3 linked regions of the Drosophila melanogaster genome follow. The protein of the gene in region 1 purifies or fractionates together with the protein of each later gene. This does not show direct contact. Each region holds a gene or a part of one and is shown on either strand. Other genes may lie near its edges.

Region 1 (10,549 bases):
GCACAATTGCTGCTGAATTTTCATAATTTTTCTTTTATTTTAACAATACGAAGCGTTTGTTGTGCTCGCGAGTGCCGTCATACTGGGTGCGCCATTTGTTGTGTTACCGAGTTCGGCCACACTGCGTAAATATCGATATTTTTCATGTTGCCGATAGCTTTTTTAAACCAGATTTGCATTTTACAAACATTTTCTAAACATTAAATAAATATATAAAGAAATTCAAAAATAATTGTAAAATCACAATATTTGGAGTGTTTATTTATTTTCTCCAACCTTAATAGCTCAACAAATTAAACGCTCTCGAAAAGATTATCAAGGTAATTATTATTTACAAGATGCGATAGTTAACTAAGGAATGTCATTTTAAGGTTTCAATTTCTTTTCCAGCACCCGCGTCCACAATCAATGTCAACTGCCCTTTGGTCGGATTCACCCACGCAGCGGGAAACTTCTTGTCCAGATCGACAAACACACTCTAAAAAATATAATAACAACAAAAATAAACCTTACAAATGAAGTTTTTGAATTGTGGTTAAAAATATCAGATTTCTTGCTCATATTCTTTTCCATCTTATCAAGCTAAAGAGACCTCACCTTGACGACACTGGCTTTTGCGGCGCCCGTAACCACGAAGGCGACATTCCGTGCCTTATTGATCAGCGGCAGGGTGAAAGTGATCCGCTCGGGAGGCGGCTTGGGCGAGTTCCGGATGGGGATAACCAGGCGCTTGGTCTCCTGCAGGGTGGCTGGCTGCTCGGGAAAGAGGGAGCAGGTGTGGCCATCGGGTCCCATGCCAAGCAGCAGCAGATCGAAGCGATCGACTTGACTTTTGACCTTCGCCTCGTAATCTGCGGCGCAGGCGTCCAGCGGTTGGCTGGTATCGGCGCGGACGAACTGGGATTCCTGGATGCAGGGCAATTGGGTTAGCCACTCGGCCCTGTAGGCACCATAGGTGGAATCGCTGTCATCCAGGCGAACATACCGCTCGTCACAGAAGAAAAACACCCATTTGGCCGTTTTTAAGTTGCACGATTTCAGGGCTTTCGTTAGCAACTGGACGAGGGAACCACCTGTAAGCGAAACAAGACACTTGACTTTGGGAGCACAAGTTTAAAGATCGCACCTGGCAAGGTCACCCCTCAAGTTTGGCTTATCACAAGCCAACCCACTTGACCTGCATGACCTGTGCGTTGATCCTTACCCGAAAGTCCCACGCTGAACTTATCATGTTTGGCCAGCGCCTCCTGGGAGCAGCGCTGGAGAAGATCGCCCAGGGCCTGGACAAGTTGCTCCTCCGAAGCGGACGGGATTACTTTTAGCGCACCCTTTTTCTCCGACATATTGCTTGATCTGATAATAAAACTCGACTCGACTTCGATTTGTCAGTAATCACCATTCCCTCTCTCAACTATCGATTACCAATTTATGAAATACATTGCACCGTTTGCGACAAAATGAAAGTAAGTAAATCTTATACGAAAACATTTCACTACCTCTATTCGTAAAATAACAACTTATTTGATATTGAGCAAAAAAGGAGTGTGTACGTGTGTGCTACAACTATATAATATTTAAAGTAAGAATGAGGTAACTCTCTTCAAAACAGTCCAATAAAATAATATTGCATTCTAAAGTTTAACTGCAACAAAACAAAAAATAGCCAATAATCTTTAGATTTATCGCGGTTGTTCTGCGCTAGAGTGTCATCACTGATTACGACCTGTGCGATAGTTGGCCCGCCATCATCGATAGACCTGTCAGAAATTAAGAAAACAATATCAACATCAAGCGAATATACTTCGCTCGCTACATATTTCTAGTTAGTTTTCGTAACTTTTTCGCTTTGGTGGCAATTAAATCAAATTTCCTCGAAGAATAACTTGTAAAAAGGTCGCAAACATCCGTCCAGTTTCTGCCAACCATCGGCCACTGGCTATCGAAAGAAGATCGCTAGTGAATTAAATTTCACAAAATTGCGTTGTACTTTGGCCGTGGAAATTTGCCAAAAAACAGCAGCTACTTTGCTGCTATATTAGCAAATAGGTTCAGGAAGTCGAGAAAAATTTTTCCAGAAGTTGGCAGCAGTTTGTGTGAATGCAAAAAATACATCGCACATAGTTTTTTGCCCTCAAGACAGTTTTCTCAGTAATAACAACAGCACCCACACAAACACACAACACCACTCAGCTAAAAACGTGCTGAAATTCGCATATCTTTTTGTTGCATACGTTTTTGAGTGAATATTAGTAAGATGCCCAAACGCGGCGGTGGCAGTAGCCAGCGGTACAACAACAACGTTGGAAATGGCGGCGGACGTTACAACGCTCCCGAGGATTTCGATGATTTTGGTCAGTACACGGGAGTGCAAGAAAATGAACCCTCCAGTAACCTAAATATAATGTATTCCTATAGATGTGGAGGATCGCCAGCGACGCAAGGATCGAAACAAGCGGCGCGTCAGCTTTAAGCCCTCCCAATGTCTACATAACAAAAAGGACATCAAGCTGCGACCCGAAGATTTGCGTCGATGGGACGAGGATGATGACATGAGCGACATGACCACGGCCGTTAAGGTGCCCACCAACCCCACATGTTATCCCTATGCACATTTCTAATCTAATGTATAATTAATTCCAACAGGATAGACCCACCTCCCGACGTCGGGGATCGCCCATTCCGCGCGGCAAGTTCGGCAAACTGATGCCCAACAGCTTTGGCTGGTACCAAGTCACGGTGAGTTTGGACTACCATGTCATATAGATATCATAGCCGCAATGGCCCAGACCAAAATCATGTGATTTAATAGTAGTTTTATTACTAAGCTAAAGAAGCAAAAGCATTCAGTCCTCCAGCACCTGTTAGATTTATAACGTTCGCCATTATACAAATTAATCGACTGTTCTACTGGATGGCTCTTCTTATGCGAAGTACATATATGTTAAATGTAGTTTTAAGTATTTAGATTACTAACGTCACATAAAACTTCCAGAAGTTTGCTCCAGTGCTCTACTAATTTCCCGCCCCTACATAGAACTACAAACCCCAGACTGGTCCATATAGATACCAGATTTACGACAGCAGTCATAGAACTATTTTTGGTCTCCAAGAACATCATGTGATTCGTCTGATGGCTTTTTTTTTTTGTTATTGGCAAAAGATCGCGTTGAGGGAGCAAAGTATCCGGCAAGAATCGCATAAGTTACAGCGAAATGTTGAGACTTATTTGTTTATTTGTACACTGCTTCCAAAGCTCCAATGCCGACTTGCCGACTGGGCTCTTTGTGTTTATTAATTAATTTCCCTCGTAAAAATCGTAAAGCAAACAAGCCAAAGTTGGGCCGGGGGGATACCAGCTCTACACAGCTAACGACAATCGGGTACTACAATTACAATTGCAATCCGACGAGCGGGCAAATAAATATTTATGGATGGCTAAACACAGTCGTCCACAGTACCAGCCACAAGTGTTTGTCGGCACGAGCTAAAAGTGCAATGAAGTCGAGCCTTTGGTGGTTTGACAGTTGCCATGACCCTCACCTAAATGGTTTCCCATTTTAAGGGCTTGCGGGCCTGCGGTTGGGTTATCCTTCGCCTGGTTGTCACCCTATCCAGCCGCACGTGGTGCAACACAACAGGTCGCTATCTCTCGACGGGGTCGTAAATGCCATAGTAAAATGCCCAATGCTGACTCTCCACCAACAAAAGCTTGCGGTTTCATTCCGTTTGGGCCTTTATTTCATCGACGGCCGGCAGACGGTGAAGACGTGTTCCAACGTCCGACGCCCCATAGAATATATCGCTTGAATCTCAAGAGGCCCGATTAGGGGCAACTTATCAGTTTGGAGTGATTAGATGTGCGACTAGGGTTCCGTCGGGAAAATCAGCCTAACACGTGCCCCACTTAAAACCCGGCATCTGCAATGGCTACTTTGGGCGCCTGGGACTACACGATCCTGGCGGTGGTGCTGATCATCTCCGTTGCGATTGGCATCTACTACCGTTTCGTGGGCGGCAAGCAGAGCACCACCACCGAATATCTTCTGGCGGATCGTTCCATGAACGTGGCGCCTGTGGCCTTTAGCCTGATGGCCAGTTTCATGTCGGCCGTCACCATATTGGGCGTATCCATGGAGAACTACCAGTACGGTACAATGTTCGTCGTGATCAATCTGTCGTATGTGTTGTCCACGCCGGTGGCCGCCTACCTCATCATTCCGGTCTTCTATCGCCTAAAGACGGCCAGTGTGTACGAGTATCTGGAACTGCGGTTTGGCTATGCCACCCGATTGGCCGCCTCGCTGAGCTTCTCGCTCCAGATGGTCCTATACATGGGCATTGTGGTCTATGCGCCGGCTCTGGCCCTGGAAGCTGTCACTGGACTGAGCCAGGTCTTCTCCATCGTAATTGTTGGAGTCGTGTGCACGTTCTATGCGACGCTCGGCGGAATGAAGGCCGTACTCATCACGGACATCTATCAGTCGCTCCTCATGTTCGCCGCTGTCTTCAGTGTAATCATCTGTGCCTGGGTGAAGGCGGGCAGCTTGGAGGTGATATGGCGCGTGGCGCAGGAAAACGGACGCATCAATCTGACCAACTTCAGTGTGGATCCAACGGAACGTCACACTTGGTTCACCCAGATTTTAGGCGGATGTGCCACCTATTTGGCCATCTATGGTGTGAATCAAACGCAGGTCCAGCGCCTGATGGCGGTGAAGAGTTTGAGTGCCGCTCGAGCGGCCCTGTGGTGGTGCCTGCCCATTCTGTGCCTGCTTAGTCTGAGCACCTGTTTCTCCGGTCTGTGCATCTACTGGTACTACCGCGACTGTGACCCGCTGCTGGAGGGTAGAGTCAACTCGCGCGATCAAGTGATGCCGCTCTTTGTCGTGGACACGATGGGCGAATACACCGGTTTGGCTGGCCTCTTCGTTTCGGGAATCTTTTGCGCCAGCCTCTCCACGATTAGTTCGATAATCAGCTCGCTGGCAGCCGTCACCCTGGAGGATTACCTCAAGCCCTTGGTCAGCTGCTGTGCCAAACGCACGCTCACCGACCGTCAGACCTTGTGGTACTCCAAGCTGTTGTCCCTATTCTTCGGAGCCCTCTGCATTGGCATGGCCTTCATGGCGGGATCAATTGGCGGACTACTGCAGGCGGCACTGTCAATCTTCGGCATCATTGGAGGCCCTCTGCTGGGCCTCTTCACGCTGGGCATGTATGTGACCAAGGCGAATGAAAAGGGAGCCATTGGTGGGCTGCTCATATCGCTGGCGTTCTGCTTTTGGATCGGTTTCGGACAACCGAAGCCACCGCTGGTCAGCTTGGATATGTCCACGGCTGGATGTCCGGTGGACAGGAGCTTTGCCCGCGACATTTTCCTCAAGACTGTGATAGCGGTGGCCGAGGAAGAGCATTACTTTTACCTGTACAGGATTAGCTACATGTGGTACGCTGCTTTGGGCTTCCTGATAACCTTCTTTGGCGGATGGCTGTTGTCCTGGCTGTTTGCCCTGCTGAAATGGGACAACAATCGACGCATCTACCAGGATGCGGACTGCACGCTAATCAAGCACGATCTCTTCGTGCCGCCGATAGCCAAACGTTTGCAACGGCGACAAATGCCGCTCCTGGTGGTCACCGGCACCAGTTCGGAGATTGGCGGCATCACGACAGAGAGCGCTACGGCGCCGCCGCGGCTGGACGAGATCGAGTGGGAGAAACACAAGGCAGTGGCGTAACTGAACACATCACCTTAGTAGTTTTTTCTTTTGTTTTTTTTTTGTAGCGCCGTTTTGACCTTAGTTACTCTCCATTAGCTATCACTGCAAGAAATAATAACTTTGCTGTACAATAATACGGTTTAGTTTATTTGCATTTCTATACGAGTCTAAAAATGAGGCAAACTATTATTTGAAAGAATTGCTGCTGGAATTACAATGCTCCTTATAATGTTCTAAAGAAAGTCAGGTCGGAGAATATCATATAGTTGCCATAGTATGTATATCTGCATGGGTCATCCCACTTCGTTCTCCGTGGAGCGTACTACTAGCCTTTTTCTCTTGTCACACAAAATATATATATATATATATATGTATATATATATTAAGTGAACTTTGGCTTTAAATAAACGAGCTTACTCATTAAGCAACTAAATTAACGCTCATCGATGGCCTGATTGGGCTGCTCCTCCGGTCCTTTGGCATTGTAAACATTGCGATTCTGGGACAGATGCCATAGGGCTAGCAGGCGGGCCAGCTCCGTGTAGGTTAGCTTGCGCAGATCACGTCGATCGGCCAGCTTAACTCCGGCGGCCTCTAGCTCCTCCACCAATGTGACGGCATCGTATTCATCCTCCGGATTCTGCTCATTGCGTGGCGCAATTTTTCCGACGAACTCCGACTCTGGCACCGCTTCGCTCTTCACCATGCGCTGCATCTGCTGCACATGCTGCTGTTTATGCTGACGTTGCTGACCCAATGGCTCGTCGACATCTTTTAGCTCCTGTTCGGGATTCATGGGCAGCGAATTGGCCAGGCTGACCATGCCGAGGATCACCAGGAAGATGACCGGAATATTGTTGCACCCAATGGGTTTCATGTTTACGTCCGACTGCTAGTAGCTTTGCTGTGGCACTGCTGCCCGCCTGTCGCATGTCGATCGATCGTGGCCTGGACTCGACTCTCGGGGTGCGCTCCAATTTCTATCTGCCTTCCAACCCGCTCGTACGCTCGCTCGGCTCCCTATCGCTCACTCGAACGCCCCGTGTGGCAGTGCTGGCTGGCGAAGACATTCGCTTTCTTCTTCCAGCATTTGGCTATTATTTTTTTTGGTTACTTTCGAATGCCATGGATTTTGGCAAACAATGGTGCCATTAAACTGCAAGTAAGGCGGGGATATAGATTCTTTTACTTCTAAAACTATATAAATTTGTAATAGATGAGCAGTGAGTGTTTTTAAAATGTATATTTTATTGTATGTTATGCAAAAAATGTTCCATTTAATTCAATACGCTGGAAACGAAGCGCAGCACTGTCGTTTGGGGGGCTGCTTTTGATTGAAAAGTCAGTGTGTAGGGTCGGTTAAATTATTTTATCTGCATATGCAGCACATACACTATACTATACACTATACAACATCGACCCCTGGTACATATGTTATTTAATTGTCTGGCTGGTGCCTTTTGTATTTTGTATTTTGTATGTAGTAGATCCCGCATTTCGTCGTTTTTTATTGTGTATTTTTGTTGGCTACGTTTTTTTTTTATTTTTTCTGTCCGCCTCCAATTCAATTTATCTGCGCAGTTTGTGCTCACTCGGTTCGCCGTCTTCTATTTTCTGCATGTTGGTTTGGCCTAATCTTATCAGCTCTTATTCATAGCCAATTGAACGAGTTGTAATGGTCGAGAGTTTTTAATAATTTCTAGTAGATATGGGTTAATGGACGACGCGCCCCGCGTTAATCAGTCGCAATGTTTCCTTGTGTACCGAACCAATCGGTCAGGCAATCTTAGGTCTAAGAACTTTGTTTGATTGGTCAAAATGTGAATGATATTATTCTACATTTACATGTTCATATTTCACACAAACAATTATTGCTCTATTTGCAACAATTCTAATGGAATACAGTTGAAAAGCAACTAGAGATACCTCGTCTAGAGTTTTAAATTCTTATCGGTAATTGGGCTTATTTAATTACTCACTGCTACAATTACTTTGCCTGCCTTCAGGCGTTGCTAAAAGCTTTTTTTTATAAACAAATTGCAATAGCATAGTCTAACTTGTAGTGCATGCCGAATTAGTGTCAACAAAGAAATTATTGTTAAATATATTGCGCTATTATGTGTTGAATTATAACGATTTGACAAATACACGTAACGACGTTCTTGAGTGACAATGGAAATTGAAAAAAAGTCGAGATTGTCAAGTTGCATGTAACGTGCGACGAAGTAAGTATTGATAAATGTAAATTCTAAATGGAAAATCGCAATTGTCAGTCTTATTTGCATTTTCCTAATGGTTTCACATCTGGCATGCGAGCAACCTACATACATATGTATGTGCTATGCTATATATACATACATATGTATATAAAGTGTTTATAAAATAAATGTACGTGCGAATGGAATGGCCAAAACATTCCACTGACTGATCGTTGTTAGCTTTTATTAGACTGCAAACACGTGCGCCAGCCCGCTTTGGTTAGTTAGTCATTTTTGGTTGAGAATGAAAAGAAGAAAAAAAAAAAACCCAGAACTGTCAGCAGCGTTGATAACCGTGTTGTGGGCCAAACACAACTGACTGACTCACTGTATAGGATAGCTCCATAGCCAGCTATGGGAGGTACCCTATCAAGGGCACCCAATAGCAGCAACCAATCCACTTGACTCTCTTTTGTGTGCATCTCCTGATGTCATCGACCAATAATGCGTTGGATCGTTTCCCTTCTTATCGCTAGCCAGTTGAACTGGCAGATTCCGCCGATTCCAACCTGCGCTCCTGCGGATTCCCACCTTGCCAATCTCATATCCCACATTTATACAGTAGATATGGGATGAGCGAATCTCGTTGAGTACTAGTTTCTACTCAGAACTATCACCGATCACAGAACAGTTAAGAACTTCTATTTCTAACTATGATTTCGTTTCTCAATACATATTTTGAAACAAATACAAGTTTGATGCAACAATTGTTAAACATTATTCATAAAAATTGCATTGAACAGCGAATATTATAATCAAAAGCAAAAGCAGCACTTATTTAATGATATTTGTAGATAGTTAAATAGTTATAGATGCATAGCTTTAAGGTTGTTCTATATGAAATTATCCCATTGAATGCAAAAAATGCAAAAGTGATTGATGATTTCCTGAATCGAAGCCACTTTATAAGACTGTATTTGATTTGAATGAAAGCCCGAGTTTGCCTTTTAATTTAAAGCCAAGTGCAATATTTAGCGATTCAACAATTTATTACGATATTGAAATTCAGGCGCATAACAATTAATAATTACTCGTTAACAGCTTAACTTGATTCATATTCATATTCACATTGTTCGTATGTACATTATCTTTTTATTATTTATTCACACACTCACAACAGACTCACGCACACACTCACGCACACATTGGCATTGAAATGGTTTCAAAAAAAAAGGTTTTGGTTCTTTTCACGTCAGTTAATCTGATGGCAGCTAATCCTGCTCCTGCTCCTCGCTGGTGGTGGTCACCGTCTTCTCCTGCCGCGTGGTGCTAGTGGTGGTGCGTGTCAATGTGAAGACACCGGTGGTGCCCACCTCATCCAGCGGCTGGGCAATGATTGTTGATGTGGTGCTCTGGAAACGAGGTGTTAGACATTTGATACTACATATATTATGAGGAGGGTGTCGTACGCCATTCTTGGTCTCCTCGGGACTCCACGAGCGTTTGTCATCCAAATCCTTTGAGCAACAGCCTCCCATTCTTTGGTTTTGTGCGTATATAGAAATACGTATTCGTTGTATATATGGTATAAATGGTTTGGTTCGGAATGCCTTTATTTTTCGTTCTATATTAATGTATATCGGGGGCCAGTAACTTGTTGCTGCTTCATCGGCGCACGTCTGTCAGCGAATGCCGGTGTTCGATGTGGTGTTCACTTGTTAGCCAAACGAACGAACCGAAAGCCCAACCCAACCCAACCCAACCCAAGCTGCGCCGCCAGCTGTGACTGCGACTGCGACGCCGGAGTTGGGTTGTCATAGCTATATAGCTCCATATCAATTCTAGAAATATGTCTCAGCCAGCGAGCCAGCCAGCCAGCCAGTACTCGCATTCGGTGTATATTGTATTGTGTTGAATACAATAAGTATATGTATAGCTCCATGTATGCCTGTGAGCTGTACAAACAAACCATTCACATTCCAAACAACCAACCAGCCAGCCACCCACCTCAATGCCCCCGTTCGAAACTCTATGTTCCCGAGAATGTCAAATCCGATCTGATTCCCGCTTTGAAAACAGTCACAGTCATCATCTTTATTTTCAAATGGGAACCACTGGCCTTGTCGCCTTAACGGTTCCATTTGCCCATCGAGCAGGTGCAGCGTGTCAACTCAAGGCTGCCATTGTTGTCTGTGGCCTATTTGGTGGCACTATTCAAAGTTGCAACGTGACAACTAATGTCAAAATCCTTCCAAGAGGATTGTGTGCTATGATCTTCCTTTGGTTCATTTAAAAAAACCAAATGGGCCATTAACAGCTTAAATTGGGCACCCTTATATAGAGCTTTTAACTAATTAGCAGAATTAGTCCCAAAAAAAATATAAATAAATACCTTTGTAGTTAGGACCAAACTTTATTTAAAGATCCTATGACACATCAACTTTGCGGGGAAATTCAAATACACAATGGTTGTAAATTAATAAAAACACAACAATTTGTCATTTTTGAATGCGATATCACGAGGGGGTTTATGTTGTTCGTATGTTTTAGTCAATGGAAAGTTAGGGTTAACCATATCGAGGCAACCAATAGACGCAAAAGAGCCAAAATATACATATAATCGTATACAGC
Region 2 (9,569 bases), on another chromosome or scaffold:
TTGAATAAATATGGCACATTCATAAATAATACCACTTGAAAAAATTATATTTGTATTTTCAATATATTTCTTTCCCAATATGCTTTGTATTTTTATGAATACTACTTGAAATTACAAAATAAAGGTGGCAATTAGTGAATTGTAAGGCACTTATTATTTTCCTTTGTTTTTGAGCTAAATAAATTCCAATTCCAATTGCTTGCCAGTTGCTGTAAGACCTACGATTGGTGGGGGCGGGAAAGTGGGGAAAAGCCGTTCGGAAAAACAACAGCAAGATGACGAGACTAAGCGGCCATTGTCTCCGCCCCCCTTCGAACCCCGCCCCCTTTGCAATGGAAATTGTTTACCATGCATTTTGTTCGATTCCGAGTCGAGGCGTCTGAATAATGCAGCAGGTAGTATACGCTGATGGAAAAGCGGAAAAGCGGGCGTGGAAAATGGGGGGGCGGTCAAGTAAATAAGCGAGCATGAAAGCGAAGACGAAAACAAAATGGGGCAGATAAAAACAACAACAACAACAACAACGCCAAAAGGACAACAATGCTGCAGACACAAAACCGCTTCGAATCGCTTTGGGCGGCATTCAAATTGAATATTGAAAGCATCGAGCACAAAACTGCCAAACGCTTGAATTATGCATTAATGATGTCTGCCACACTGGACAATATAGTGAAGGGGTGGCGGGGGAGTAAAGGGGGCAAGGATTGAGGGGCGTTTGCAGGATACAAGGGGTTTTTTTTTTTTGAAGCCAGGGACAAGAACAACGGCAATGCGTCGTCCTCGTCGACTGACCATCGCTTATTAATTTTTTATGCGTCTGCTATTTTTATGGTCGACATGAAAGCGTTGGCCACAAGCCTTTTATTTTCCTGACCATTTTCGGCTAGCTTTCAATAGTTTTTCACCGAAATTTCCATTTCAACCAGACGCGAGTTTGCGTTGAAAAAGTTACTAAAACTTATCCTACATAGGAGATTTTATTAGAAGAGATACTACCTTTTAAAGTCAAACGCTTAGAATAATTTATAAGGCTGATTATTTATTCCTGGCTTTTTAAAATAATTTAAAGATAAAGATTTCCAGCTTCATTGATATAGAAATGTCAAAAAAGTTCTATAGCACACGACAGTCATACATTTATTTAACCAATTAAAGCGATTCGAAATGGCATGGTGTTTAAGTGCTATTGCCATGTCGCGCACTGTCAATACAATGTCAATATGCATTGTTCGCTAATGTATCGCCAACAAAGTTTTACGCTTTTTGTCGCCAGATTTTCCCTTTGGCTTAATTCCGTTTGAACGACGAACGTTGCGTTGGACAGGATTTTGTCCTGCAAATAAAACGCGCCCTTGACAATGGCCGTCAATATGCCGATATCGGTGGACAGAAAGACGTTAATTACCAACATTACCGCGCGCCCAATTATCAACCGCACAAATCAGCGGTGATGTAGGTACGGGTAACCTGATGCACCGTGTGCGGGGCAATGGAAAACTCATTACATGCCACAGGAGCCATCATCCGTGATTCGAAAGATAGCACATAGGTGGAGCGATGGAGCACAGGGGCAGGTGGCCAGGCGCCACGCCCACAAGGAGCGACCGCAACATGCTGTAATGCGTGGCTCTATCAGCATTTGCATGTGCAGCTGGAGCTGGAGCTAAATGCGCCCGATACTTAAAGCCAACTAAAGGCCATATGTTAGCCTACACTGCCAAAGGACAAACTTAATGTCAACACGCTAATCTGTCAGTCGGCAGGAGTTGCAGCGCAGGATGCGAGATGCAGGGCGCGGAATGGGGGATACTGGCATGGCGGGGAGTTGGGAGTGCGACTGCAAAGGATCTGCCACAATGTCAGGCCACTTAAGGAGCGCTGAATCGCAGCGCCTCGCTGCACAGGAACTCAAGGATATTGGAAGTGGGCGGAAAATGGGCGGGGAACACTCCCAGAAAATGCAGCGATTCTTAGACAAACTTCAATCCTTGGAACTTGATTAGCTATTATTACTTAAGGCAAACGATTAAAAAAGCTTCTGCGTAAAGGATTAGTAGAAAGATATAAAAGAATCCCATATTCTGTTAATCTGAAATCAACAGATTCTGAAATGAAAAATATTCATATTTCAGATAGCTTACTTCAAAATAACTAAAAAGAATAGCCTAAATGGTTTAAAAAGCATATAATACATTCAAGAATAGTGTATGCTTTTTAAATAATTCACAATCTTTTGAGGAAATACCAACAACCCAACTTCGCGCTGCTTAAAATTAATGATAAGTATGTTTAATATTTATAGAAAATTATTTGCTAGTGTATCGCCGCCTGGATGGCGCAACAATAATGCTGGACCCTTTGAAATGACAAAAATTGGTTGCTCTCCGTGCGGCTTGACGCCTGACTTGGCAGGAGACACTCGAGGGCACCACAAATGCCAAGCCGTCACCCACCCAGGCACCCAACTAAACACCCACTGCTCCTACAAGCAACGTCCTCCCCCCGCGAAGGACGCGTCTTATCAACTATGCAGGGCTTTGTCTCTAAGCGATTGCAGGCGCCACCCCCCCTTTCCCTTCCAACCTGCCCCTGCCCCCTTTTGCTCCACGCAGTCAGCGTCTTTTGTTGCGCTTAATGAATTTTACGTAAATTTTACGAGCGCTGATTTCTGGCAGCAGCAGCACCACCCCAGCTATTAATCCACACTTTGGCGAGAGCACCACCCCCAGTGGATGGGTAAATTAGTGGGTGGTTGGGTGGTTAGTGGGTGGATGAGACTGGTGCTCTCCTGGTTGTGCGTGTGTAATGACAAGTTCAACAACAACTCGACATTGTCGACTGGTGACGAGGACGACGTGCTCCGACATTTGTTTGCCCAAGTTATGCAAATATTTTTCCAGTCAAGAAGTTTTTGTTTAATTGCATATTTTGACTCGCATTACGCGTGTCATAAAGCAGGGATCCGGAGCTTACCACAATGCCAGAAGTTGGGCGGGGATTAGAGGCACTCGAAAGACATGTTCCTGCATTTTACAGTTCAAAGACCAAACTAAACAATCAGTTTTACGAGTATAGATCTTATTCTGCCCAGGCTTGCCATTGAACTATAGCTATCTTCCTTAGAAATTAATTTAAATTAAATTTATATTTAAGTCTCTAAGATGATATTTTAAAAATAATTCCTAACACAGACGAAATCATGGAGAAGCCTTTAATATGGTTCATAAAACATAATTTATTTGCTGCGTTCGAAACTGTGAAGCTGACCTACTTCATTTAAAAACGAAATTAAACCGAATATATATAGTATGTATACTTCTGCTTTAGACAGTAAAAATGCATGAAGATTGTTTGCTTAATTGGTTAAACTAAATGATGGCTAAATATATTACCACCTCATTTATGGTAATCCGAATAAAACGTTTAATTTTTTTTTGGAGGAAAGCGTTGGATTCGAATTTCATTGCCTGGACAAATTTAAAAAGTTTACATTTTTGAGGCATACCTATCGCGTATACGCTTTCTTTCTTTTCCAGCCCTGACAGTTTCCGAGTATCGAGTATCGAGTATTACTTTCTATCTTTCAATGACAATGACCGGCGACTTTCTCACTTTCTTCGTACGCTTCTTACTGGCGAAACACAAGAGCCCACAAAGGATTATGACAAGTGCTGGCAACTGGATTTCCGAGGAGCTGGAACCAGCTACTCTACTGTCGATTCAGGAGGATAATGGTATTGTTACCAAGGTGTACGTGGCGCCCTGTTTGCAGCCGATAAAAGAGGAGAAAGTTTTCCTGGAGGACAACACGCAACGCTTCCACTGTCCGCTTTGCTCTAATGTGATTCGCACGGCCGGTGCCTACAAGGTCCATCTGATGGCCTGCCAAAGACGCTTGGCACGCATGATGAAGGATGTGCCGGACGTGTCCCAGCATCAGTGCAACATTTGCAAGAAAATCTTCTCCTCGGTGGATGCCCTGATCGGCCACAGGCTCCTGCATGGAAGCCCATCAATGAATCGCACCTGTGCATCCTGCCATGTCAAGTTCGGGACGGATCTGGAGTATCGCACCCATTTGGAGAGCCATCTGATACCGTGCGAGTCCACGGATGAATCCTACGAAGGGGCGTACACCATCACCAAGACCTTCAATTGCGTCTTTTGTCGCACGGAGTTCAAGGCCTGCTTTAAGCCTGGCCAAGTGACCCGTCGATACGCGTGCGACGCATGTATCGTAAGGCTGAAGGCCCAGGAGGAGGAGAAAAAGATCTTAGGGAAGAGAAGGCCCGAATTAATCTGTGATCGTTGTGGGAAAAAGTACAAATATGAGGGTTTCCTTCACCGTCATCTGAAAACTTGCCAGATGCCGGATAAATGCAAAAGAAAGCGTGAGATTGAAATCACCGAGGTCAGCGAGGTAACATTTACAGAAGTTGTGCAAAGTTTTAATAATTGATTATACAAATTCGCACATTTTAATTTTAAATTAAATAAATATATTTTTTAATTGTAATATTTTTTATAATTTTCAAATTATGGCGCCCATCCCACCGATATCTATTTCGATCTGCTATCGATGTGGTCACACTTATCGATAAATCCACCGTGGCGTGGTATTTTTGATTTAAAGCGTTAGTCGATTTCCCGCCCAGCTGCACGTGTATATTTTTTTGCGGTCCAAAGAAAAGTTCGTAAATAAACGAATTTGCGTGCATTTCCAGCGAACACGATGAGTTCAGACGAGTCCAGCGACGGTTTGGAGGAGCTGCAGAGTCTGAAGGCCCTCTACGGCCAGCAGGAGCAAGAGAAACCGGCAAAGATCAAAAGGGAACGTTATATTCCAAAGGCCTCGCAGGCCAAGGAGCTCAACTATGTGGAGGTGCCCATGGAAAAGGTGCTCTTCGGCGACAGGCAGCGACTGCTCACCAATCTAGCCAAGTCCGTGGGACAAAAGTTGCCGAACGATGACGAAGACGAGCAGGAGGAAAATCCCGGCCAGGCAAAGCCAGGCGACAAGCGGAAAGCCGCCTGGTCGGATTCCGATGACGAGGACCTGCAGGTGGGCGATGTCAAGAAGGCCACAAAGCACACGGGTCCACTGAACCACCTGCGCAAGGATAAATCGTACAAGGAGTATCTTACGGCGCGATTCCAGCGCACGCTTAACCAACCCAAGTGGGCGGAAAAGAAGGTCAAAAATGAGGACGACGAGGACGTATCCTCCGACGAAGAACTGCTGCGGACGGTTGGCTTTATCGATCGTAAAGCCCGGAACAGTGATCTGCCCCAGAAGACTCTGAATTTTAAACGGGTCAAAGACCTGAACAGGGCCACATATGCCGAGGGTAATGCCACCAGCATTCAGTTTCATCCAACCAGTACTGCTGCTCTAGTGGCGGGCATGAATGGCCTAGCCACCATCTACGCCGTGGATGGGCAAAAGAACGAAAGGTTGCACAACATGCGCTTCAAGAAGTTCCCGCTGGCGTGCTCCAGAATTGCTCCATGCGGCACAAGGGCGTTCTTTGGTTCTGTGAAACCATTCTACTACTCCTACGACTTGCTGGAAGCCAAGGAATCGAAGCTAAAGCTGCCGGGCGCAATGGAATTTATGCACCGCTTTGAGGTGTCTCCATGTGGCAAATTTATCGTCACTGCTGGCAAGTTTGGAGCCATTCACCTGCTCACGGCCAAAACAAATGAGCTGCTGCACAGCTTCAAGCAGGAGGGCAAAGTGAAGGGATTCACATGGTCTAGTGACTCCAAGAGGATCCTCGTCTGCGGTTCCACTTCCAATGTCAGCGTGCTGAACCTGCGCCAGAACCTCATCGAGCACATCTTCATGGACGACGGCTGTATACATGGAGAGTCCATTCAACTGTCTCCCAACCAACGCCTACTGGCCACCGGCAGTCAAGAGGGCGTGGTCAACATCTACGACTACGAGAGCATTTTCGCATCCAAGGCCCCACAACCCGAGAAGCGCTTCATGAACCTACGGACTGCCATCACGGATCTCCAGTTCAATCACTCATCTGAGCTACTGGCGATGTGCTCCAGTGAGGCGCCGAATGCTTTTAAGCTGGCCCATTTCCCCAGCGCCACTGTGTACTCCAATTTCCCGGCACAGAACGAGAAGGTTGGCTTTGTGACCTCCATGGCCTTTTCGCCGCACAGCAGCTTCCTGGCCTTTGCCACTAAGGGCAAACAGGTGCCGCTCTTTAGGCTTAAGTACTTCAAGGGTTATTAATTGAAGGCAGTATGATGTTTACAATAAATTCTTAAATAAAATCATTACTCTTTCTGTGGTTACAATGGAACCATCTTTATTTAAGTTAACAAATTAAGGGGACTTATCTTTAGAAAGGAGCTCGGAAAATATCGCGTTTCTGGGAGTCTTGAATCTTGCCAATGTCTTCCAGCTTCTTGCTGATGTTCGTCGACTGCGATTCGATCCACTGCAACGAATTCATATGGGCATTAAGGATTTTTCCGATCTGTATGATGGGATCAGTGGTGTCCTGGCCCTTGTTGGCCTCGTTCAAGTTGTCTATTATCTCCTTTAGATCCTCGGACATCTGCTTCAGTTGTGTGTCCAGATTCTCCACCATCAGGTAGGTTTGGCTGCGTTCCATGTCCACCCTCGGGAGATTAACGAATTCCTTCTCAAGCGGTCCCAGGCTGTCCTCAAGCTCTTTTTGCTGCGTGGCTATAAACTCCAGCTCCTGGTCCAGCACTTGCTGATCGGTTTTCACTTTTTTCACGGCATCGTTGAGCTCGACGATCTTCCCGTTGTTGCTGATGAGCAGTTTGTCCCATGCGTTGATCTGAGTGGCCTGTTCGGTGAATACCTTTTCCTGTTCCTCGAACTCGAGAGTCCACTTGTTGATATGCTCCTCAAGTTGGTGGTAGGACAATTGGGATGCCGTGGAAACGGCCGATGAGTCTGTGGTCTTGGTTTCGGTAGTGAGATTGGCAAAAGCACCACCAGTACTTAAAGTTGGGGCCGGTGCAGCTCCCTGCGTGGAGGCTATGGCCGACGGAGCTGCAGTCAGAGTTGTGGACGCAGCGGCCGTGGTCTTGGGAGCTCCCAATCCAGACCCGCCCAGCAATCCAGTTGTGGTAGCTGCGGTGTTGGGTGCACTGGTTGCTATAGTTGGCACCACAGATGCCGCTGGTTGAGCCGTAAAGCCTCCGAAGGCGGGAGGAGCAGCAGAGGTTCCAGTCGCGGTCGCAGAAGTGGTGGACGCTGGATTTGCGGCGGCTTGAGTGCCCAGCGTGAGGGGAGCTGAAGCAGTCCCGGATCCCAGGCCAAATCCAAAGGCTGGTGGAGCCTGCGCCTTGCTGTTGTCTGCATCTCCGCCACCGATACCAGCAGTAGGTGCCGGTGTTCCGAAAGAGAATGTGGTTTTTGTGGCGGGAGCCGTGGTTGCTGCTCCTGAAGCTGGTGCTGCGGCTGGTGTTCCTGTGCTGAGGCCGAAGGAAAACGACGATGTTGCGCCTCCGGTCGGGGCGGCGGTTGTTGTTGGCAACTGGAATACCATGCTTAAACTTAAGACGAATAATATAAATCTAAATCAAACGAAACACGCCAAAAGCAACCAGTGTGACCCCTCCTTGGAGTTCCGCAATGTTGTCGGTGTTGGAAATCAACTAAATTTGAGCTCAAGCTAGCTATTTTCAAGCCAAAACACTTAGCAGTTTGAAGATTGGGCGGCAAAATTAAATTTTAAATTTCTTTGAATTGGCAATACAAATGAAGTACTTTGCTCAGTCGACGATACATTTTTGTTACTAAAACATGCTGAAAACCAAAACATTTATATTATTTTAACGTTTGCAATCACTTTTTGCACTTTTAAAATATATTTATGTCTGTGTCCGTTTTTTTAACCAGCGATCAACTAACTTGCGAAATCGACAAACAACACTGGTCGAGAGCTATGTTTTAGCTCCAGTTTTAGTCGTACATGGAACAAATCATTCCGCGCAACTTAAATAAAAAAACCAACTCAGAAAGAAAACGTAGTCAATCGTACAAACAAAATCAATAACAAAACACCGGCTTTAATTAGTCATCTTTTGCTATCTGTAAGTGCAAAGGCGATAAGGTAACATTTGGGTCAAAAGAATTCAATTACAAGCCCAAAGTGCAGCGGCACTCAGTTCAGTAATTGCATTTTGCTAAATCAGCTAAACACATGTGTGCTTCCTATCAGAAGGTTCGTTCTGCGTACCTGTGTAGGTTCTCTTCAGAGCTGCCAGCCACAAAATTAGAAAAATTACCTAAGGTACAAACGTAATGCGGTACAACAATTAGAGCTTGTCTTTGACCTTCGGTTTTTTTTTTTTTTGTAATAAGATTCTTTTTAAGATTTTCATAAGATCTGAGATCTGATCCTCAAAAACAGAAATTTTAAATTATTCTTAAAAACCAGATCAAAATTTTCTAATAAAAGACCATAGTTCCTATGTTTTGTTAGTACATGTTTTCCCATCACTAGTACCGTGCTCTAGTCTACTATGCTTCCAACTATTTCCCCAACTTTGTTGACCAGTGTAGCTGGCAAGCAGCGCCAGAATTGAACAACAAAAGCATATCAGAATCAAAAGCCCCTGTTCTCGGTCTCTCCTCGATTTTCTCTATTTGCTCCCTGTGATCGCTGTGAACTTGGCGTGATAAGGGGCTCCGGCTCCTCCTGCAATCGAGAAAGCCCGCTGTTTGCGCCACCCGGCGAACACCAATCAGTCGATGGGAGTACTCCGCTGCAATAGCAATTAGCCACTAACCTTCTGTCAGCTCTTCAGGTGCCATTCCCCTACCTCCAGCTCCTCAGGTGCCCCTGCCAAACAGAGTTATCTGGAGTGCCGCCCGCTGGAGAATATAAATTCCCTGGGTGCCCAAAGGCCAGGATTCAGTCGGTGCCACTAGCTCGCCATGTACGGAACGTGGGGCGTCTTTCTGGGCGGGATTCTTCTGCTGCAGGTTCTGCAATTATCCATGGGCCTCGATAATGGCCTGGCACTAAAGTGAGTATTAAATTTTGATTGGATTCTAGGCCACTTAATTGAAATTCTGTCGATTTTAGGCCACCTATGGGCTGGATGTCCTGGGAGCGGTAAGAAATATTTACCAGCAACTAGATTAGATCATAAAGAATTATCATTACGTCTAACATTTAAAATAAATAAACTTTAATAGTTAGTAAAAATTAGGCCTTGGCATGAACTCTACACGCTACGCTGCAATAACGCTTTTGTTTATTTCATTGCTGATATAACTAACACTACTGATATAACTATAGTCTATTTAAAGATTCTCTGAATTTTTGATTACCCATGTCTTACTTACAGATTCCGTTGCATCACCGACTGTAAACTGTATCCGGATGAGTGCATCAGGTTAATACCCAAACCCAACTCAGATCCTCAAATGTTCCTTTACTTCTTGTTCATTTCACCTGTTTCAGTGAAAAACTTTTCCAAAGACATGCGGATCTCCTGGTTTCTGAAGGATATGCGGATGCTGGCTACGAGTACGTCATCATAGATGACTGCTGGCTGGA
Region 3 (12,068 bases), on another chromosome or scaffold:
AATTCAAAATAATAATATCTGTTGGCAACCCTGGTCCCAAACTGCACACGTTTTCATATGTTTTTCTGCGACTCCAGTCTAACTGCATGTGAGTAATGTACTTCGTCCATTTCGTCATTTAACTTACAGTTGCACTATCCAGATTTAATCCTGAGATCAACTGAAAAATGCCCGAGGCTGAACAGCAGAACGATGCCAACGCACCAGCCGGAGCCGGGGGTGATCCTCCCAAGACGGCCAAGCAACTGGAAAAGGAGCGTCTGAAGGCGGAGAAGCTGGCCAAGCTGCAGGCGAAGCTGGACAAGAAGGCTGCGGCTGCTCCAGCAGCGGGTGAGAAGAAGGAGAAGCCCGAGGTTAGTGAAAAATCCATCCCAAAAGTGCCTCCTATTTTGTGATCTCAAATCGAGGTTATGTGGCCAAGTGAGAGGCAGTAATTGCTGCCCATTGTTACTGGTGAAAGCGAGTGCTACTTATATGTAATGCTCGAATTACTTTACTTTGCAGAAGCGCACCAAGGAGGTGAAAGAGGCTGCCGTGTACACGGCCCAAACCGCGCCCGGTGAGAAGAAGGATCTGAGTGGAGCCTTGCCGGATGCCTACAGTCCACGGTATGTGGAAGCACAGTGGTACAGCTGGTGGGAGAAGGAGGGCTTCTTCACGCCCGAGTACGGAGTGAGTTTATCCTTGGTTTTGGTTAAATGCTGGTTTCTAATACTCTTTGAACATTTAGCGCGCATCCATAGACGCCCCCAATCCCAATGGCAAGTTTGTGATGATCATTCCACCACCAAACGTGACGGGCTCTCTGCATTTGGGTCACGCCCTGACCAACGCCATCGAGGACGCCATCACGCGCTACCACCGCATGAAGGGACGAACCACTCTATGGGTGCCTGGTTGCGACCACGCCGGCATCGCCACCCAGGTGGTGGTAGAGAAGCTATTGTGGCGCGACGAGAAGCTATCGCGGCACGACCTAGGTCGCGAAAAGTTCATTGAGCGCATCTGGGACTGGCGCCGGGAAAAGGGCGGTCGCATCTATGAGCAGCTGAAGTCCCTGGGCTCCTCCTATGACTGGACCCGAGTGGCCTTCACCATGGACCCCAAGCTCTGTCGCGCCGTTACCGAGGCTTTCGTCCGATTGCACGAGGAGGGCAGCATCTACCGTAGCTCCCGACTGGTCAATTGGTCGTGCACCCTACGATCGGCTATTTCGGACATTGAAGTGGACAAGGTGGAGATTCCCGGTCGCACATTCCTCTCCATTCCCGGATACGAGGACAAAGTGGAATTTGGTGTTCTAATAAAGTTCGCCTACAAGGTGGAAGGCAGTGACGAAGAGATCATTGTAGCCACCACCCGTATCGAGACTATGCTGGGCGATACTGCTGTGGCTGTGCATCCCCAAGACGATCGGTACAAGCACCTGCATGGCAAGTTCGTAGTCCATCCGTTCTCCACGCGCCGCCTGCCAATCGTCTGTGACGAGTTCGTGGACATGGCTTTCGGTACGGGTGCTGTGAAGATCACCCCAGCCCACGATCCCAACGATTACGAGGTGGGCAAGCGCTGCAATTTGCCCTTCATTACAATCTTCAACGACGACGGCTACATAATCGGCGACTACGGAGAGTTTACTGGAATGAAGCGGTTCGAGTGCCGCAAGAAAATCCTGGAGAAGCTTAAGGCCCTGAATCTATACCGCGAGACATTGAACAACCCGATGGTGGTGCCCATCTGCAGTCGCTCCAAGGACGTGGTGGAGCCGCTGATTAAGCCGCAGTGGTATGTTAGTTGCTCGGACATGGCAGCCTCTGCCACTGAGGCAGTGCGCTCCGGAGAACTAAAGATCATTCCGGAGCATCACACCAAGACGTGGTACCACTGGATGGACGGTATTCGCGACTGGTGCGTGTCGAGGCAGCTGTGGTGGGGTCACCGGATTCCGGCATACCATGTCAGCTTCACCGACCCTTCTCTTCAAACTGGATCGGTGAGTAAATCTACTTTGGATAATAATAATTTGTATGGGTAATATATTTCGTTGGATATCTTAGTCTGCTCATGGAAGTGTGGTGCGTAAAAAACCAAAACATAACTCTATAAATTATAGACAACACTTTTAAATTAGACAAATTAAAATTTTCCTATTTGTTTCATTTTTAGAACGACGACGAGCAGTACTGGATTGTAGCACGCAGCGAAGCGGAGGCTCTGACCAAGGCAGCCGAACGTTTTGGAGTGGACGCCAGCAAGATAGTACTGAAACAAGACGAAGATGTCCTGGACACATGGTTCAGTTCGGGAATCTTTCCCTTCTCCGTTTTTGGCTGGCCAGACCAAACTAAGGATCTGCAAACGTTCTATCCCACATCGCTGTTGGAGACGGGTCACGACATTCTCTTCTTCTGGGTGGCTCGCATGGTATTCTTTGGACAGAAGCTGCTGGGCAAACTGCCGTTTAAGGAGGTCTATCTTCACCCCATGGTGAGGGATGCGCACGGACGCAAAATGTCCAAGTCCCTGGGAAATGTTATCGATCCTATGGATGTTATTCGTGGCATTACGCTCGAGGGACTGCATGCTCAACTTGTGGGCTCCAACCTGGATCCTCGGGAGATCGAAAAGGCTAAGGCTGGACAGAAACAGGATTATCCGCAGGGAATTCCCGAGTGCGGCTCGGATGCACTTCGATTCGCGCTGTGCGCCTATATCACGCAAGCGCGCGACATCAACCTGGACATCAATCGCGTTCTGGGATATCGTTTCTTCTGCAACAAGCTGTGGAACGCCACCAAGTTCGCCCTGCTGTACTTCACCGGCTCTGAGAAGTTTGACACGGAGCTAAGTGCGTCTGCAGCGATCAACCAGATGGACGCCTGGATCCTGTCACGCTTGGCAGCTGCCATAGAAGCTTGCAACACCGGCTTTGAGTCGTACGACTTTGCTGCAGCGACCAGCGCCTGCTACGCATTCTGGCTCTACGATCTGTGCGACGTGTATTTGGAGTGTCTGAAGCCGATCTTCCAGAGCGGCAGCGAGGAGCAGCAGACCGCCGCAAGGCGCACGCTCTACGTATGTCTAGATTATGGACTGCGCTTACTCTCCCCGTTCATGCCTTTCATCACGGAGGAACTTTACCAGCGGCTTCCGAGGGCAAATCCCGCTCCTAGCATTTGCGTGGCTAGCTATCCCAGTAAGTCGCATTTGATTTCTTCATGATGATAGAATTCAAATAAATTTAACTTCCTCATAACTAGGCAATACATCCTGGCGCAGCACAAAGATAGAATCGGACGTTGAATTTGTGCAGAAGGCGGCGCGAATCATCCGATCTGCCCGTTCCGACTATAATCTGCCCAACAAGGTTAAAACCGAGGTGTATATAGTATGCACGGATTCGGTGCCCAGTGAAATACTCAAACGCTACGCCAGCGATCTGGCCACAATCTCCTACTGCTCCAATGTGGTCTTTGACAGTCCCGCACCGCAGGGCTGTGCGATCCTCACCGTGACGGGCCAGTGCGAGGTGCACCTGCTGCTCAAGGGACTCGTGGAGGCGGACAAGGAGATAGCCAAGCTGCAGAAGAAGAGCGACCAGCTGGTGCAGACGGTGGGCAAGCTAACTCAGGCCATCCAGGCCGCCGACTACGCAACTAAGGTTCCCGCCGAGGTGCAGGAGGCCAACGAGACAAAACTCTGCGAGTCGCGGGCAGAGATCGAACGCATCGCTGCCGCCATCGAGACTCTGAAACTAATGTGAACAGGGAACGTGGTAACCGCTAGTCGGGAAGACTGGTAATTGATATTTAGTACGCTTGCCTTGCCAGCTGCTGGGCTTTACTTAAAAAATACAAGAACGCGCTTCACTCGCAAACAAAGTTAATGCATTTCGTACAGAGTAGACAAATCGATTGATGTTTTATTTATTCATAACGTCCCACACATGAAATTTGCCCCAATATAAATAAATAGAAAAGATAAAAATACCTAAGGGATTTTGGTTATTCATAGCCCGAGCGAGCTACCAGGTTAATCGAGTGGCATGATCCGTCTTGCGCTTCGACATCTTAATGTACCCCAGAAACTGCAACTCGGCTACGGCACGCGTGAATCGGGCCCTGGTTGAAAGGAAAACCAAATGAAATTGATGATATTACAGAGAGAAATCCATTTTTTTACTCACTGGATCTGGGGATCGATTTGTTCCTGGGCCACTTCCTCGTGGTCGCTGTCGCTCACAACAGATCGAAAGGCCTGCAGCCAGTCGAAAAGGTTGATCATGCGACCGCACTCCAGGTGCAGCTTGTAAACCACGGAGAGATCGGGCAGTGTGCCAACCAGCAGTGATTGATCTTGTAGCTCGCAGCACTTGCACTGCATGTAAAAATGTGGATTATTCAGGGCAGTGTGCAGTGCAGCCCGCGGAGCACCAATTATGTTTCGCCGCACGGTAGCAATGTCGCTGAACACAAAAAGTTCGTGAATAGGTGGTGCATCCTGCAGCGCACGGAGATGATCCTGTACAATCTGCGTTTCGATAAGCTGCAGAGTCTTTTGTAGAGCTCGTCCGAATTGGGTGGTGGGCGTGTTCAGCTGATGCCGCATCTTGTCCTCCTTGCTACGCTGTAGGAGCTGATCTTTCAATTCTTGACGCGAGGCCACCGGAGTCAAATGGTCAGTCGCCTGGCGGGTTTCATTGGGCGATGTCGTTGTAATTGTCGCCATGGTGGCCTTGACCACTTCGTCCACTGCAAGGCGTATAGCTTCTAACTTAGGTCTCAGCACAGCAGTGCAGGCCTCGCCCAATTCCAGCGGAGCAATTTCTTCAACCAGGAACTGTTCGGTTCTTTCCAGGGCTCGATTCACTTTAGCAACAAATTCGTCCTTGGACAGAAAGCTTAGCATCTGCAGGCACTCCTTGTACTCCGGCGTCGAAATGATCGCACGATTAAGACAGTTGACGTACAGTTCCCGGCGTAGCTTTCCCAGCGGACAGCGCGGCAAATCACCAACCAGCTCTGTAAGGAACTCCAGAGAGCAGCGGAAAAGCAGGAAGTGGAGCAGGCAGTCGCGCAGCAACTGCGGCAGTTTCTTCTTTAGGTAGTCATCGTCCGTGAGCACGGCTATGATGCGTTTGCAATCATTGATCTGCTCGACGTACGGACGAAACGATGGGAGCCTTCTGATGGTTTCCATATCCTCGTGGGTCAGCTGCTTTATGCGTCCCAATGCTTTGCTGTAGTCTGTGCAAAGAGCAAAGGCATTCCCACCAAAGAAGTGTTCCATCAGGCAGTACTTGAAGCCCTGAATAAAGCCGTGGATGGAGAAGTCGTAGTATAGGAAGATGTGCGTCAGGAACTTGAATGTCTTTCCCGACAGGTGGAAAGCGTACTTGGGCGACAGCAGAACTTTATCCAGCACCTAAAGGTTGTTAGAAAACCGATTAGTACATAAACTAGCACAGAGTTAAGGAATATTACCTCATTAAGGCCCGTGGGAGCAGCTTGAGTCTGGAACACCCTTAGACGAATCTTGCTGCTGACGTGGTATGGTAGTGTCCCATGGACAGCTGTCATGGCCGTGGCCACTCCCAGGACCAGGACGAATGGAAGCGAGCCGCAGTGAGCGCTCAAAATTAGAATAAGATCCTGCAGCACGCTTGCGTTAAAGCACTCAAAGTCGGGAAGGATGACGACCAGCTGGCGGCGCTTCTGTTCCGAGTCAAAATTGTTCGTGTACCAAGACTTCAACTGCTTCATGGTGCACTGCGAGCGACGTAGCCGCTTGCGATCCCGTTCGGCACCATCCTCGTCCTCGTCCTCGTCTTCCATTTGCTCCACTTCTGCATTATCTTCTACGAGCCCGAAAACCAATGTCTCAACGGCCGCCTTGAGAGTGGCGCAATCCCTGGACTGCAGCACACATACCATTGCAGCACGTTGGGCATGGAGTCGCTGGGTAAGTGCCGTGAACTGGCTGAGATGATCCGGCTGATTAATGCCCGTTAGCAAGGCGGCGGTGGGCAGCACCTCGTCCGGGGTGTCGCGCTCTGCCTGCCCCACCACAAAGTCCACCAGTTGCTCCAGAGTGCGGGCATAGCTGCGGTGCTGCAGGTCGGCAATGTGATCGTTTATCTGATTCCAGGCCTTGCGATATTCCTCATAGAAGGGCTGCTGCACTACCTCTTTGCCAAGAAGACTACTGGATTCTGCGGCAGGACGCTTCCGTTTGCTGGCCGCCTTTTTCCCTGCTCTCGTAGCGCCATTTTTGTAGACAAAACAGCCCTGCAGACAACAAAAATAAGTAGTTAAACATCTATGTCCAGTTTGGAAGCCGAAGCCACTCACCTTGGACACTGAAATGGTGGGATCCATCGCTGGCTTTGCACTGCGGCCCGATGTCGTGGAGTCTTTAAGTCGCCGGGTTGCGTTTATTTATTTATTTGTTTAGGTCAGCTCTGTGCCAATTAAAGTTTCTTCACCGGTAGGAACGCGAAATGAAATCAGCTGGCTGTTGTGTTTGGCGCCAAACGGGCGGCAGTGTTGGCTAACGACTTTAGGGGGTATCTTTGAAAACAAGTGTGAAAAGTATAAATTAATTGAATATTTCATCTAACATGAACTAATAATAAGAAATCATACCCTTCGTGCTCGTACGCCACCATTTTGGTGGATACGAATTCGTCGTAGTTTCTGTGAACAGCACCAAGTTTTTTGAACGTTCGCCATCGCAACGATCCGACCATTTTGGGGCCACTTGGAATGAGAAAAGATAGAGGAGCAGGAAATCGAGGAACAGTATGATGGCTGCCAGGAAGTAGTCCTTCGTGCGCATCTCGGCGAACCTTCCACCGTTTATAATCTGCGCGTGATACATGACAAACTGTAAGGAGGAAACTAAATGACAGAAACTAATTCAAAAATGTATGACTCAGTACTAACCATCAAGATGCTGATCACTATAAAGCAACGGGCGATTATAAACGAGTATGCGACATTAGCCACGATGTAGAGCATCACGAAGTATATGGCGCCGATAATGGAAACCACTGCAAGCACAAATAGCACCACAACATCCAAAGTAAGATCCAGCTTAAGGGGATAACAATAAAAATGTGAAGCTTCAGATTTGAATCAAATGGCTTTCATGTGGACTCTTCTTACCGGAAGAAAGGAACCACAGACAATAAAAAGCGCCAATGCTACGGTCCATATAAGGAAGCTGAAGAGAAACTGATACTTGTAGTGGCGGGCAACCAGCGGTGCAATCCCCAGTACAATGCATTCAAACTGGAAAGAATAAGTTCATACTGCCACCCAGGTTATGTTTCACATTGTAGACTTACAATTAGAAAGGCAAACAACCAGTTTACCATTTTATTAAAGCGCAGTACCTCGAAAAATATGAAAAGTACGAGGAGTATCAGGCCTATTCCAAAAAAAAGGCAGCTCAACCAATGGTACGAAGTAAAAAATTCCCTTAGAAAATTTCTGAAAATTAAGAAAAAGTGCAGTGAGGATGAAGTAATGTGAAAATACATACGTACACAAAGCGGAAAGTGGCCCATTGCAACAGCGCAAGGATCAGGAATATCGCGGTTAGTAGGTAAGTGATCAGAGCGAACTTTCTTCTTTCCTTCTTGTAGTAAGAACTTTTTTCCGGAATGTCTGCCATTGTGTAGTGTTTCTCGAGTATTATTGTTTGTATTGTGATGTTTTTTTTTAACGAATTTAAGTGTACAGTAATACGAAATGGGAACTAGATTGATTTTAAAATTATATTCTTGGGAAAACACGTAAGTGCATAATAAAATTTTTAAAATATTCGTTTTGGCGCCAAATGTTGCTGCTGGATATCGATATCCACTATCAGGGTTGCCACATTTTCAGCCGGTCAGCTGTTGCTTCCGATAATCAACTGCATCTTCTGTTATCGATTGGCGGCAACACGGGATTTTCTAACAATATTAAATAGAATAATAATAATAATTACATTTATACAAATACACGGCAGGGAAACAAATTGCACGCCAGTTTGGAGGAAATGCTCAGGACAGTGACCATTGAGCTTTAGTGGAACTTTTATTCCCTGAAACAAAAATCAAGAACATTGAAATTCTTTTGTGTTTCGAATTTTGATCAATTTATGACTGAACAGGTAATCAATAAAGTAGCTCCATTAAAAAACAGTAACTCTAACAATTCATTTTATGTATCCTTGTTTAAAGGGCAGCCAAGAAGAAACGTAAGCGATTGGTATGGAAACGCCTGCATATGCCACGAAATCTGGCGGAGAACTGGTGCTGCCCGAAGCTCTGGAGGACTTGATGGATTTGGAAGACCAGGACGCGGGCGGGATGAAGTCCAACGTTAAGGATAAATCCATGGATTTGGATATCTATCACGATTTGTACGATATAGAGCCTGCAGGTTCAAAGAAGCCTGACCAAATGGACAGATCCCTTGAACTGGACATCTACGATGATTTGGACGACTTTCAGAAGGCCGAAGATCGTGTAAGTTGTGCAGGAATACGTCCTTTCAGCAGAGTTACCCATTTACCATCTCACAGAATACCAAGGAGCTACAGGCATGGGAAGCCAAATACGAAAAGGCACTGGCCGAAATTGAAGCGCTAAAGGTTGAGAATAAGGCACTTGGCAAGAAGATAAAAACCATGGAGGTTAATCTACAGAATCTACTGGACACAGCTAAGGCGGAGGTAAAGAGAAAAGAGACACTGATTGCCGAGCTGCGAAACGAGTAAGTTAGCATATTGACTCCCTGCTTCTTAACAAACAACACATTGTTCAACAGAAAGGACGATGTATGCTTCCGACGAAAACGAGCACGGGCGTTTGACGTACCAGGTGCAAGGGAACCCGAAAGTAAGCGTCCGAAAGAATTTCAATCTACACCAATCGATGTCAGGAAATATCCGGAAACGAATAGAAATCCGTTCAAAACGGCTGCAAAGGACGCCGCTAAGGATGATGCTAGGAAGATGATGACCAAAAAAGATGACACAACGAAAGTCGTATCAAAAGATGTTGAAAGAGGCGTAAAATCCAAGGAGGATAATAAGATGGCGACCAATAAAGATGATGACAAGAAGTCATCCTCAAAGGATGATGCTTGGAAATCTAGGACAAGAGAAGACGCCAAGAAATCGGTCCAAAGAAGCAAGTCTCCCAGGCCGGAACACTCAAAGACCACCGATCGGAAATCTACTGCACAGGCTCGTCGTCCAGATCCACATCGCAGCCGGAGTCCAAAACATAATTCCCGGCGAGATCATCACAGGAATCAAGAAAGCAGTTCCCGGCACGCCAAACGGCGAAGCCAATCCGCATCGCCCAGGTCAGTAAAGCAGAGGGACATAAGTTACATTTGTTGATAGCACCATCTGATTTTTGTAGCAAGATACAATTGCCAAGAGAAAAAGCAAATGCCATCATCACACTTACTGACGATGAAACAAATGACCAACGCAGCAAGAGCCCAGTCCCCGTGACCGTCAAACTCGTAACTGAATCTCAACCGGCTGAAAAAGTCGTTTCCAACCGAAGGGATGCTGCTTTAGAAACCAATGCAAATTCCTCAAAGGAATCAAAAGTAGAGACGAAGGATATTACTCAACCGACAAATGGTTTAATTGCTGAACCTTGTATTCCAAAACATGAGATTATTCCGGGGTTAAGCTTAATTAACCCAGAATCGGCGGATTTTTCTAAAAATGAGATCAAGTTAGATCCTGTAATCTTACAGGATCGTACAGAAGACTCTGGCCACCAACTTTTAAATAAGGAGCCTATTCCCAAAGTTGTAGTACTTGAAAAATGTAAAAACATTTTAGCTGAAGATTGCCCAGCTGATGAGCAACCCCTGGACAAATTCAAGGATGGAAAAGAATCTGAAGAGACACAGGCAAAGTTAGACAAAAAAGAGCCTTTTGCAGTTGAAACTGCTGTTGAAACTCCTAGCAAAGAAGAAAGCAACGACAACATAGTATTATCAAAGAATACGACGTCTCAAGCTGATGTGTGTTCTCAGCATGATGAGAATGATGAAGCAGAGATCCGAGAACCGATGGATCAAGTTAACTCCGTGGTCGAGTCCGACTTGGGAGTAAGGATTATTGAGGATATTCGGTTGCCCAAGATGGCGAATATCGACCATTTTGCTGTAAAGGTCGACAACCATGGTGAAGCGCCAGCAGCTGTCACAGATTCCGCTTTAAATCAAGAGAACCTAGCCACACAGGACCAAAAGATTTGCGCAGAGATGAAAGATCCAACTATTTTTACCACCTCGGACGAAACTCCAATAAAGTCTGCTACTATATTATACGCCAAGCCCGATTCAACAAAACTGGATCACAGCGATGAACATGACGAGGTTATCCTGGAAACTGCCATTGACATGCTGAAGAAGGAGCAGGATGCAGCGAGCACCGCAGAATCCACATATCCGAAACTGCGGATCGCAGAAGATGCCATTGAGATGGCACTAGAGCAATTGCACCAGCAGTCGCCGGACGAAACTGTGGTGACCTCAACGTCGAATAGAGCGCCGCAGACGCCAAAAAGCCTCATCACAATACTCACCCAGACTCCAAAACAGGCTGATCCACTAAGATCCCAAACGAAATCGAAGACTGTGTCGCCGATGGCGACGCCTAAGAAGACGGCCACGGAGAAGACCCCAGTGAAGAAGAGAAAGGTCAACATGGATAGTTCGCCGCAGGTGCCAGCCCATGATGTTACCATCGACGAAACTTTGGGTGCCTGCAGTCTGCAGGACGAGAGCTCAACTGTGACCAAACGCTGCTCCCTGGGCCACACAGACTACCAGTACGAACAGATAAAGGACGAGGTCATTTTAAGAGTGAAACGACGGGGTCGCCGACGAAAGCCAACACCTATGGAAATACCTACGACTGCTGCGGACAAACCAATTTGAAATAAAATTGTGTAATCGATTTGAAGTGTCCACTTCGAATTTATTTATATATATTACATTGCTGCACCCAATGATTGGGTGAATAGGTGTTAATTCACGCGATCAGGACTTTCGATCATCTTGAACCATGAGTAGGCAACGATCCAAAAGTAAATGGCTACACCTGTGGGTTTTGAATTATTATTAATAATAAGGTACTTAAAATAAGCAAACTATTCTTAATTCTGGATAGTGTGAAAATATATCAAATATTTTGCAAGCTTTACCAAATCCGCCGATGATAAGGAATAAGGTCAAAATCACAGGGCCAATTGCGACGCAAACATAAATGAAAAACATAAGATCATAAACAATGCGAATTGCGCCTGTTATTAGATAGCCAATGACCAGTTTTTTGGATTTCTGGAAAAGACGAGAGTCTTAATTAATAGATTGCTTCTAACTAGAAATGAATACTTACCACCCAAACAGAGCCAATAACTGAGACACAAAACACTAGGTGGGCAAAGTGGATGACAAGTGTGATGATCCAAACGTAGTAGGTGGAAGTGTAGCTGACCTCAAACGTTCCCATATCATGATCAATCCACCAGTCCTCATAATAGGCTAGATCTGTGCGACACTTTATATTCAAATCGATTGAGATCATATTAAAACACATACACTTAGTTTCCAAAACAACTGCCGCCGTCACAATCATATCTATAAGGGCGATAATCAAGGCTCCCCATCTTAGCTCCCAGCAACAGCACTTCCTAATGGTACACTTCATTCTAATTTAACTTGGTGTCTCGGGATCATTTTCGTATGGGTAATGTTGTCGTCTGAGTGATCTATATGTCCGCTGAGCCTCCAAGCTTCTTGTACCACGAGAAGACAACGATCCACAAGCAGACTGCAATAACTGTGGGTCGCGATAAGAAGTGCGTTAATTTGAAATACTTTAATACATACATTTAATTAGGTATTATATGCATTCAATCGAAATGAAAGTCAGGGCCATCTTGTGTATTTTTTTTGTAAATATATATATGAAACAACTTACTTAGGCCAATAATGATGAAAATCAGTCCCGGGATATCGTGGTCGCCCAATTTAATGCAC

Evidence for each region.
Region 2: the proteins of sbr (region 1) and Nup62 purify together in Drosophila melanogaster (affinity purification with western blotting, with the first as the bait; one study listed by BioGRID). This does not show direct contact.
Region 3: the proteins of sbr (region 1) and Orc3 purify together in Drosophila melanogaster (affinity purification with western blotting; one study listed by BioGRID). This does not show direct contact.

Annotation. Positions count from the first base shown.
Region 1 is NC_004354.4:10,838,294-10,848,842, reverse strand, and holds the start of sbr (small bristles), read left to right. Parts: upstream 1-1,750; 5' UTR 1,751-2,254; coding exon 2,255-2,351; intron 2,352-2,415; coding exon 2,416-2,576; intron 2,577-2,643; coding exon 2,644-2,736; intron 2,737-3,761; exon of another isoform or gene 3,762-3,923; coding exon of another isoform or gene 3,924-5,738; exon of another isoform or gene 5,739-6,153; coding exon of another isoform or gene 6,154-6,597; exon of another isoform or gene 6,598-6,638; intron 6,639-8,947; exon of another isoform or gene 8,948-9,189; coding exon of another isoform or gene 9,190-9,330; intron 9,331-9,387; coding exon of another isoform or gene 9,388-9,456; exon of another isoform or gene 9,457-9,613; intron 9,614-10,549. Other genes in the region: Pgls (6-phosphogluconolactonase), read right to left, coding at 362-478, 598-1,073, 1,205-1,343; CG32669 (uncharacterized protein), read left to right, coding at 3,924-5,738; CG15209 (uncharacterized protein), read right to left, coding at 6,154-6,597; CG15210 (uncharacterized protein), read right to left, coding at 9,190-9,330, 9,388-9,456. UniProt on the Drosophila melanogaster protein: Mediates the export of the majority of mRNAs from the nucleus to the cytoplasm. In ovarian follicle cells, plays a role in transposable element silencing regulation by enabling the nuclear export of flamenco (flam) transcripts and subsequent piRNA biogenesis.
Region 2 is NT_033778.4:16,342,559-16,352,127, reverse strand, and holds Nup62 (nucleoporin 62kD), read right to left. Parts: upstream 7,752-9,569; 5' UTR 7,548-7,751; coding exon 6,363-7,547; 3' UTR 6,300-6,362; downstream 1-6,299. Other genes in the region: CG15710 (uncharacterized protein), read left to right, coding at 3,662-4,459; wcd (wicked), read left to right, coding at 4,733-6,253; CG7997 (uncharacterized protein), read left to right, coding at 8,942-9,033, 9,093-9,122, 9,358-9,405, 9,474-9,569. UniProt on the Drosophila melanogaster protein: Essential component of the nuclear pore complex. The N-terminal is probably involved in nucleocytoplasmic transport.
Region 3 is NT_033778.4:13,198,832-13,210,899, forward strand, and holds Orc3 (origin recognition complex subunit 3), read right to left. Parts: upstream 7,717-12,068; 5' UTR 7,678-7,716; coding exon of another isoform or gene 7,550-7,677; intron 7,494-7,549; coding exon of another isoform or gene 7,349-7,493; intron 7,293-7,348; coding exon of another isoform or gene 7,167-7,292; intron 7,095-7,166; coding exon of another isoform or gene 6,945-7,094; intron 6,886-6,944; coding exon of another isoform or gene 6,645-6,885; intron 6,570-6,644; coding exon of another isoform or gene 6,559-6,569; 5' UTR 6,378-6,558; coding exon 6,351-6,377; intron 6,288-6,350; coding exon 5,484-6,287; intron 5,425-5,483; coding exon 4,187-5,424; intron 4,122-4,186; coding exon 4,025-4,121; 3' UTR 3,897-4,024; downstream 1-3,896. Other genes in the region: ValRS (Valyl-tRNA synthetase), read left to right, coding at 168-353, 505-672, 731-1,993, 2,058-2,075, 2,167-3,196, 3,261-3,763; CG34315 (uncharacterized protein), read right to left, coding at 6,559-6,569, 6,645-6,885, 6,945-7,094, 7,167-7,292, 7,349-7,493, 7,550-7,677; FLASH (FLICE-associated huge protein), read left to right, coding at 8,261-8,518, 8,575-8,765, 8,820-9,362, 9,422-10,964; CG34312 (uncharacterized protein), read right to left, coding at 11,054-11,127, 11,231-11,366, 11,425-11,576, 11,628-11,736; CG30058 (uncharacterized protein), read right to left, coding at 11,798-11,868, 12,010-12,068.